2 linked regions of the Caenorhabditis elegans genome follow. Changing the gene in region 2 together with the main gene of any one other region gives a genetic interaction. Each region holds a gene or a part of one and is shown on either strand. Other genes may lie near its edges.

What was found. A genetic interaction does not mean that the proteins touch.
Region 1: of bltp-2 (region 2) and fbn-1, changing one enhances a phenotype caused by changing the other (phenotypic enhancement), as found in Caenorhabditis elegans (one study listed by BioGRID).

What each region holds. Positions count from the first base shown.
Region 1 is NC_003281.10:7,623,386-7,628,385, forward strand, and holds the start of fbn-1 (EGF-like domain-containing protein), read left to right. Parts: upstream 1-2,000; coding exon 2,001-2,076; intron 2,077-2,556; exon of another isoform or gene 2,557-2,608; intron 2,609-2,826; coding exon 2,827-2,929; intron 2,930-3,410; coding exon 3,411-3,517; intron 3,518-3,567; coding exon 3,568-3,905; intron 3,906-4,200; coding exon 4,201-4,489; intron 4,490-4,703; coding exon 4,704-4,937; intron 4,938-4,986; coding exon 4,987-5,000.
Region 2 is NC_003279.8:15,047,701-15,052,562, forward strand, and holds the start of bltp-2 (FMP27/BLTP2/Hobbit GFWDK motif-containing RBG unit domain-containing protein), read right to left. Parts: upstream 3,001-4,862; 5' UTR 2,980-3,000; coding exon 2,933-2,979; intron 2,723-2,932; coding exon 1,277-2,722; intron 851-1,276; coding exon 389-850; intron 47-388; coding exon 1-46. Other genes in the region: zipt-1 (Zrt (ZRT), Irt- (IRT-) like Protein Transporter), read right to left, coding at 3,446-3,814, 3,914-4,245, 4,388-4,496, 4,574-4,720.

The DNA.
Region 1 (5,000 bases), on a different chromosome or scaffold from region 2:
TCAATCATTCTTCTTCCGAAATTCATTATTCATTATAAGTTTCATCCTTTTCAATCTTGAGGTTACGTCGTTCGGGATCTCAAGCTATTGTTTACGAAGAAGTAGAGTAGACCCATCCCGAGTTTTTGTTTGTCTAAGATCTCTGAGTTTCTTGATTGAAAAATTGAGTTCCTCAAAGTTTCCCTTTTATTGCTCTGAAGGCATGAGCTAAAATACATCCTGAAGTTGAAATCGAACATTTATACTAGGTTTTCAGATTTTCTCACAATTATTTTTTGATTAGTAAAAAAAACTAAGCATAAACTTCACGGTTGTATGATCTCCCTAGTTGAAGCAATCATACTGTACATGAGAAACCTTCTTTAATTTAGTTTGAAAAAAAACTCCTATATCAAAATGGCAGATTCGAAGCCCAAAGTTTTTAAATAAGGAGGTAGGATATTCCCAATTTAATGCTCAAAGTTTCAAAATTTGGAGCTCAACACTTTTAGATCACATTCACTTATAAAGCTTGAATATTAAATGTACAATTCTAATAATTTATTAGTTCAAGCTTATCTTTGATCCTCTCCGGTGATTAAAAGTTGGTTGCCGGTCGAAACTTAAAAATAATCTCTCTTCCAAAAAAAATTGCACAGTCTAAACTTTTTAATCTTCGTGTTTTGGTTGTTGCGTCTATCCATCCCAGAAAAGATGTGTTTATTCCACTATTTGCACATGCAAAGAAGAATGAGACCGTAACCCCATTAAGCAGTGTAGTCCGTGGAATCCCCCCACATCTACTATTACTACTCAATCTCAAGTGTTTTGAACGGAACCGAACGGAAATGCATGAAGAAAATTTTGAGGCGTGGAGAGAGTTTGGTGCGTGATCCTCGTAGTTTTTGCAACTGAGTTTTGCATGTGTTTTGTTAGTTTAAAAGGTTCAAAAAGAGAAAGATGGTCGGAAAGTGTAAGGGTCAAACAATTCAGTTATATGTACTTGCATCTGTAGGCGTGTGCACTTCGAAAACTTTTATGCTCTAGGCATTATGTTTGAAGATTCAGAACATTTTTTCATCTCAAAATAATTTGACCTAAAATTAATTTTTCTAATGATTTTTTATATGTATCACTAACAATCTGTGACAAATCTACAAAGCCTAATTTAGTGTGAGCTGCCCACTCACAGGTTCTTGATTTTGAACAGCTCATTGGATTAATGAACAAGCTAGTTTTAATGAACTGTAAAAACGATAGAACTGTGTTCTGAAAACTGAGATTAATCTATGTAGATTAAACTCTAGATCGATAGAATTCAAACAAGATCTTTGAATTGTTTTAGGCTTCCAAGATCTTCTGGATGTTTATCGAATGAAAAATTTAATCTTTACTTTGATGCAGAAACGGTAATCAAAGAACCCGGGAAGGCGTTAGATACCATTTTCCGCCTTATTGCTTCACCCTGGCAGCTACTCTTACGGTTCATATCTCGTATTTTTTGTACGTTTCAAATCATGCTCAACAATATGATTATGTGGTTTGATTGGACTCGCAGTTCAAGCCCAGCTCTTGTCCTTATCGGCTCTCGCCCTTATAAAATCTAAAGAAAAGGCGTGTGAAAGACACCTCTATAACGCCTCGACCGGGTAATAATTTGTATAAGAATATTTAAAGACAAAAACGTATGCCTGTCAGATTTTAGTTATCATATCTAGGTCAATTTGCTCTTTGTACTTTTATTTTCATAGACACAGCATACGCACTTACCCATCAAATACCTTATCTCTGCTATTGGAATAATCAGATTCCATTTTTCAACTTTTATCCAATTACAGTTCCATCACCTTTTCGGTAGGTATCACACTCCCATTTACATATATCGTTTTTTAAGTTCTATCTTTTTCTCTCTCCCGTTTCCTTTCGCCGCGTGTTTTTCTAATTGATAGTCATCTTTCTTCTTCGAAAGTGCAATTTGACAGGAAAAAGTGCAGACTTGTTGAAAATTGAATTTTGCAGGAATGTCTACGAGGAGCCGGGGCTCCTGCTCCTCACCATGGTTCATCACCCCGTTGGTGCTACTAGCCCTGTGCAGAGGTATTGGTTTGAAAATATTACATAATACGGGTTTAATACGGGGATAAAAAATTTCTAATTTGGGTCAAGCTTAGCTAAAAACTTGCCAAAAAATCTTGAGCAAAAAGCTACGCTAAGAGCACATTGAACACTAGTATCTGACATTTGGGGATTTAATTCACAGTAAGTGATGCAGATCCAAAAATTAGAACTAGATAACCAACAAATTTTACCAAAAGCTTCATGAACTCGACGTTTTGTTTCAAAATCTTTTACCTTTGATCTACAGCCCACCTAGTAAAACACCATGAAAGCAAACTCATAAAACTGAAACCATATGGCTTCACCTATGGATTTTTACAAATGTGTCATTCAACCGTTTTCTTGATCTTCCGTTTTTACAAGTAGTTGTACCCACTACTTCATCTTCCATCTCACTTTTTCGGTTACTTTTTGGGGCGAGAGCGGAGGTGCCCCGGTGCCGCCTGTATCCAGCCTGCCAAGGTCATCACTGACCCATTTATGACGGCGGGAAACAACATGTTTGATGATTGGAATTGCGGTGGTCTTGTGTGTTGTTGGTTAAGAAAAATGACATGACATGAACAATTGGTATTTGGGAACAGATAGATTAAATGTTGGGAACTTTTACGCAAGCTTTGACACTTCAAAGACTGCCCATGATTCACATTTTACCTAGAGTTAAAAAACATCCAACTTGCTCAGATATAAAATAGAAAACAGTTTCAGTAAAGTTGTTTTTTTTTTCAGGGAGTCATCAAATCGCTAAAAACTTTGTGAACTCATCAACTCCAGATCTTCGACCCACATTTGTTGTAAATTTCGATACATCAACAGTTATTTGTCAGCACAGGTGAGCATTTAGTTATTGAAATTCTTAAACTGATTAAACTAGCAAGTTATATGGATGTGAACATCCAAACTAGATTGTCTGGAAAATTTAAGAGATATCTTGTTTATCAATTCTTTGTTTTCCAAATTTCTAAGTTAAAATTTCTCTTGAATTCTGACAGTAGTGCCCAAAAACAGCCAATTAAAAGAAAACCAAATGGGTCATCAGGCAAGAAAACAGGCGTATCAAAAGAGTGACACAGAGGTGTCATAAACTTTTTTTTGGAACACCGAAGAGTTGTTAACCTTGAGAGAATAGCAACACAAAAAATCAATTTCATGGATGATTGAAAAGAACAAAGTGTCAAATGGGTGGGAGAATATCGAGCAAAGTTGCAAAATTTGAATTTAGAATGATTTTGTGACCTCGAAAAAAGACCAAACTTTGTGGGATCAAGGAGAGAAAAAGGACAAAAAACTGGTTTAAAATTTTGAATTTTCAGCTCCGATCCAACAGACCTGCATATTCATAACATGAGCTCTTTATGCGATGGAAAACAAGATTGTTTTGTGAATCCTGCTATGCACGATGAAGTTTTCCCTTATTGTGGTTAGCCTTTTTTTTTTCAAAGTGCAGGTTTCCAATCAATTTTCTTTCAGAACACAAATGCCAGTCAACATGTAGTGGGAAAGGAGCGTGTCTCTACGATGGAGCCAAACCTCAATGCTATTGTGATTCCGGATTCTCTGGTTCAGCTTGTGAGCTTCAAGATAAGAATGAATGTTTGGAGCATCCTTGCCATATGATGGCTCAATGTCAAAACACGTTGGGATCCTATGAGTGTCGGTGTCTGCCAGGATATGAAGGAAATGGACACGAATGTACTGATATTGATGAATGCTCAGATAAACTTACATCTAGATGCCCAGAACATTCTAAATGTATCAACCTGCCTGGAACTTACTACTGTAATTGCACACAAGGGTTCACACCAAAAGTAGGCTTTTGCCATAATTATCACAAACATAAGAATCTATTTTTAATCTAAAAATTCGAAAAACAAGTACTTGAAAACTTGAGAAATGAGACTTGGAATTCTTCCACTTTAGTCATGCCATATATGTATATATATATATATAAATTCAATTTCATGGATGATTGAAGAGAACAAAGTGTCAAATGGGTGGGAAAGTATCGAGCAAAGTTACAAAATTTGAATTTAGAATGATTTTGTGACTTCGAAAAAAGACCAAACTTTGTGGGATCAAAAAGTATAAAATCCTAATTTCCAGGGAAACCAGGGATCTGGTCTTGACAAATGCGCAGATATCAACGAATGTGAGACTGGAGCCCATAACTGCGACGCAGACGAAATCTGCGAAAACTCAATTGGATCATTCAAATGTGTCAATAAATGCTCTCCCGGGTATGAGCTAATTGATGGAAAGTGTGAAGATGTAAATGAATGTGGATCTGAGAAACTTCATAAATGCGATGTACGTGCTGATTGTGTCAATACTATTGGTGGATATGAATGTGAATGCGAGGAAGGTTTTGAAGGAGATGGAAAGAATTGTCAACGTAAGTGTGGGCATTCCGTCAAACTACCCTGTAAATTTTGAAATATTTTGGTTGTACATTCGTCGCACATTCTTGCACTTCTAGCAACTTTTTAATTTTTGCGAGAACGTGAGGGTAAATACGAAATAAATTTCAGAAAGCTAAGACAAAGAATGAAAAATTATGCGTTTTAACAGCACTGATTTACCTAAATATATAATTTCCACCATTTCAGCAAAATCGTCTTGCCGTAAAAACTCTGCAATCTGTGATAGACACGCATCTTGTCACATTGTCCTAGACATCTGTGACTGTAAAACTGGATACACAGGAGATGGAATCACATGTCACGATATTAATGAATGTGATGCCAAAGATACACCATGCTCAGATGGCGGAAGATGCTTGAATTTGGACGGAGGATACGTTTGTTGCAAAAATGGACAAGATGACGCCACATGTATTAAAGGTGAGTTACATTTTGCCCAAATTACTTTAAGTAAGCTCATAAGTTTCAGACCAGGGAGCATTT
Region 2 (4,862 bases):
TCGTGTTAAAGTTGACGGATTCGGAAATGATAGGAGTTGAACGGTTCTGCAAAAAAGGAATTTTATTGAATATTAAAATGTCAAATTAAAAAACTAATTTATACTGTTTTACCTTAAATTTAGAAAATTATGTTTACCAAGAGGATTTTGTTGTTTTTTCTTGAAAGGTAAAAAAAATTCAGAATTTTTAAAAATCATGTCAATTTTTCATAAAATCTATCTGGCAAAAAATTTTGGCGGGAAATTCAAATTTTCTGAGCAAAAGAAGTGTTTTAAATTTAAATTTGCTGACTAGCCTCTGGCATTCGGTAGTTTTTTTCAATTAAGTTTTAATTTTCAAAAAACCGCTAAAAATGATTTTCTCCCATATTCCTGATAAAACTCTCACTTTTTGACAGACTTATAAGCGTCAAAAACAATGAGATGAAGCTGTGGAGACCACGCCAAGAAGACCTCGCTCGATGTGAAAACTGATATTTTATCGATAACCGATGATTGTTTATCAATGAGAAACTCCAAAGTGTTCACCGTAATGAACTGTTTGAATTTGAATTCAAATTGATTAGCTCGTTTCTCTCGTTCCTCTTTATATACTCGTTCTCTCTCCAAATGGCTCCATCTCCGAGTTGGTGAACTGTGAATTTCGGCTGCTTCTTCAACTACTCGCTGCGATTCGAAAATATCCGCGAGAAGAACATGATCTTCAGTATCTTCTCGAATTCCGGTCGCGCCACGCATCATCTCCATTTTGAGAAGGCCATCTTTTTGCCAGTTATCGGTAATAAATTCGAGTTTGGAAGCACATAGTGCCGCGTAGGATTTGTTCGTGGCGTTCACTAGTACGGCTAGTCTGTAATTACTTTCTTTGTTATTGAAAAAAGTCTCCCTCCAACTTTAAAGATCGGGTAAATATTTTGAAATGGCTTCAATTTGGCTCCTGATCAAAGGTGTAAAATCGAAATTGTTTTGTTTTTTCGATTTTTCAAAATTTGCTAATAATTTTGGCCATTATATAATAATTCTTCTTCTTTTTAGAAAAAAATTTTATATTTTTTCTCATCAATATAAACAAAATTAGATTTTTAAAAATCATATTTTATGGTTAATTTTCTGAACATGAACATTTTTTTTTGATTTTCCAGAAAATCGAAAAATCGAAAATTTTTTGATTTTTTGATTTTCACTCAAAAACACCGAAAAATCCACGGCGCGCTCCGAAGAGAATGTCTTTCGCGGTATTTTGAAAATATTCTTGGGCCAGGATTTTTTTCTTTACCTATTAGCCGACACTTGAACCGCAAGGCACAAATTCCCAGCTTCTTCCCCATTAGCAGAATGCTCGGCTCCAAGAATTCCATGAATAACCCCTTCAATTTGTCGAGCCAATTGATCGGACCATTCGAACTTCACATCATCACATCCCACAGTAATATCTAACAAATTCTTCTTCGAAAGTTTCTTCCATTGCGCTATAAATGCTCCAATAAATAGAGTTTCCCCCCATTCATGGTATTCGAATTGTTGTAGGGATTCAGGATCGTCTTGTGATCCGAAGAAAAGCATCTCGATTCCAAGTTCAAATTGAGTAGACGTTTCATTCGACTTTTCAAACGTGAGAAAGCCTAGCTTAAACCACGATCGGTGGGATTCAAAGTCGACAATTTCGGCCGACAAATCACAGAATTCAAGAAAGATTTGATAATCTGATCCTCTCGATCCTCCTGAAGATCCTTGATGTCCACTGATTCTTTGGAGCTCTTTAAGACTCTTATTCCACCACTGAACATCATGGAACGCTAGTTTAGCATGAACTCCTTCCACAGAGCAGTGAAGCGTCTTCACAGCCGTCTCAAACTTTATCATGGTAAGTTTAAGCTCACTTCTGAGCAGCTGATCTGCGATGTTCAGCTCGGAAATCACTAGTATGCTGGTTTCCAGGTTTCTAGTAAATTGGATTTGCTTTATACCAGCCGTGATGTAGCGGTTATTCGTGGTATATTTGATGGAGAACGAGTGGATGACCACGGTCATTTGGAGTAGTTTCAGGGGAGTTTTGAGTTCTGCAGAGCCACTTCTTTCCGTGTATCCAGTCCAACTGCTAAAAACTTCAAAAAAGTCATCACTGAACGCGATCGCCGGTGACGAAATCCTCAAGGCCACGTTATCCACAACATCCTTATCGATATCTAAAGAGAGTTGAAACGGCATTGACAGCTCCGCGAGCAAGCTCCCACTGTTCCTTCCTCGTCTCAAAAGCTTCGCCTGTATTAGTGAGCAAGACGTCTCGAATTGCCATCCTTCTCTGCTCCGGAACGTTTCAAGCGACAACTCGTCGATTGTCACGTGCAACAGGCAATCCGGTATCGTATTCATTACTACAATATGTACACGATTCACCACAAGACCACAGTACTGAGCGATTCGAGTGAATCGAGACGTCCAGATGTTTAATTTGATCATTTTCGACGGATCTTCCACCTCTTCCACTTTTCCATACCACTGTACATTCTTCTCGGCCTCGATCCTCACATCATCGAACCGCAAAACACAAAAGCGTGTCGGATGAGCTCGATCCCTCGACAACGAGATTACGTCAATGTGAATGGAGAGCCACGAGATTTTGATGGTGACGTCACGCAACTGAACGAATCCCACACCTCCGATGCGAACATGAGATTTTGTAACGAATGAGAAGATCCACGATAGAATCACATCGATGTAGCTGGAAGTTTGTTATTTTAAACTAATGTTGCAGCCATAAATTTCTTTTTTTTAGATTCTCAAAAAAATTTACAGATTTCTTTTTTCCTTTTACTTTTCAAGAGAAATGAACTTTTTTTCATAGTTTTCTTTTGAAAACACAAAAAAAAAATCTGAAATGTACGTTTTTTTTAAAGTTCAAAACCCAAAAACTTGTAGCCTAGAAATTTACCTCAGAAAAATGAGAAAAACTGTCAGAAGGGAGAGAAGGACTATCATAGTGCGTCCGGCTGCATCTGTCTGAAATATCAGTTACTTTGAGAAAATTTTAAAAGAAAAAGGCATCACAACAACGAGAGCGTCTAGTGCTTAAAATAAAATTTGGAAAAAACGGCTAAAAGTTAAAGATAATAGTTATTCAATTTTTGAAATTAGAAAAACATGAGCTCTGTGAGTCTTAGGATTGTGGGTTTGGTACAACAAATGGGAGCTTTAAAGCCGTCGGGAATGTCAAATATTAAGTAATGGAATTGGGAAAATGAATGAAATACACAGGTCTATGGCGAGCTGGAACCCGGGATGAGAAAGTACAAGAAAATGTGTGATAGCGAAAAGATGGGACACAGAATGTACACAAAAATCGAGTAAAATTGCACAGAATTAGGAAAAAAAAACTAAAGCAGAGAAAATGCTACAAAATGTCAAAAATTAATCGAATTCCTGGAGAAAAAGAAATACAAATGTCCTAAGAAGCTTCGGGGAAAATCAAGATAAAAGCGACAACGATTGCAAATCCCATATAAATGAAGAACATCTTGAGAATTCGATATTTTCCATTATGCAATTCATGTGGAATCACTTCAAAAGTAGTAATATACAAGAATGTTCCACAGGCAATTGCTTGTAGAATTGATGAGACAATTGCAGCAAATGATTGTTCTCCTCCACTGATAAATTTCATGATTCCAATTCCAGCTAGACCACCAATCAATACTTGAACACTAAAAAGGAATTGTGCAAGTGCAATCCATGGAGTTGTTAGATTTGCTTGAACTAGACGAACTCCAAGGCAGAAGCCCATTATGCATTTGTGAAGTATTAGCGCTCCGAAGATCTGCAAAATAAATTAAAAAAAAAAAACATTTTTTGTTTTAAATTCTAATTTTAATTTTAAAAATGAAGAAAATAGTAGTTTTAAGGTAGCCGGCAGAACCTGAAGCAACTGAGAAGCATCTGACGTGACAGCTAACGAGAGTCCCTCGAACAGAGCATGAACAGAGAGTGCCAATACTAGCATGGCAACTCCAATACTCGATTGGGCGGCAGCTTCGTCTCCTTCTTCTTGTGATTCACCATCTTCAGATCTTTGATGCTCATGATTATGACTATGAATATGGTATCCAACATGTCCGAATACATTTCGGTCTTTCGCCGCTTTGACAACCTGATCAATTGTGAGAACCAATAGAAATCCGACTGCTACAAATGCCAACGGAACTGGGAACTCCGTTGCAATCTTGGTCTTCTCGAAGGATTCTATTGAGTCTGCAAAATGTTTCAGGTTTTCTACTACATTTTAGCGAGTGTATTGCCAAAATGGGATTTTTGGCGAATATTCTTCAAAATTTGGACTAAAATAGCATTTCTCTGATGTTTTTTTTTTTTTGCAAAATTTTCCACTTCTCACCTGGAAGCAAATCAAGAAGGCAGGCGCCTAGAAAAACTCCACCACCGATGCACGAGATGAACGAGAGAATATGGCTCCGCGCCCATTCTCCTTTTAGAAACGTGGCTATCTGAAAGTTGACGAAATTTTCAAAATGAAATGTGATCACATCACATGCGAACATGACAAAAAAAAGTTTTGGCTCACCATTCCGGCTGCAAACGTGAGCGCGAACAGAACGATGAGCAATACGGCGCGGAGTGCATCCTTCGGTTCTGCCCGTTCTCCATGCTCTTCCCATACGTTTTTTAGAAATAACCGTGCAGTTAAACGAGAAACAATTCGTCCGAACATCTTAAATTTTGGAGTACTCAGCAATTTTCGTAGAAGGTAGCGAGAAAAAGAGAAAAATGGATGGAAAGTTAGAATTTTTGTGTGGTAATATTTTTGAAATATTTGTAAGAAGAATATTTAAATGTTTTTTGAAAAAAATAAA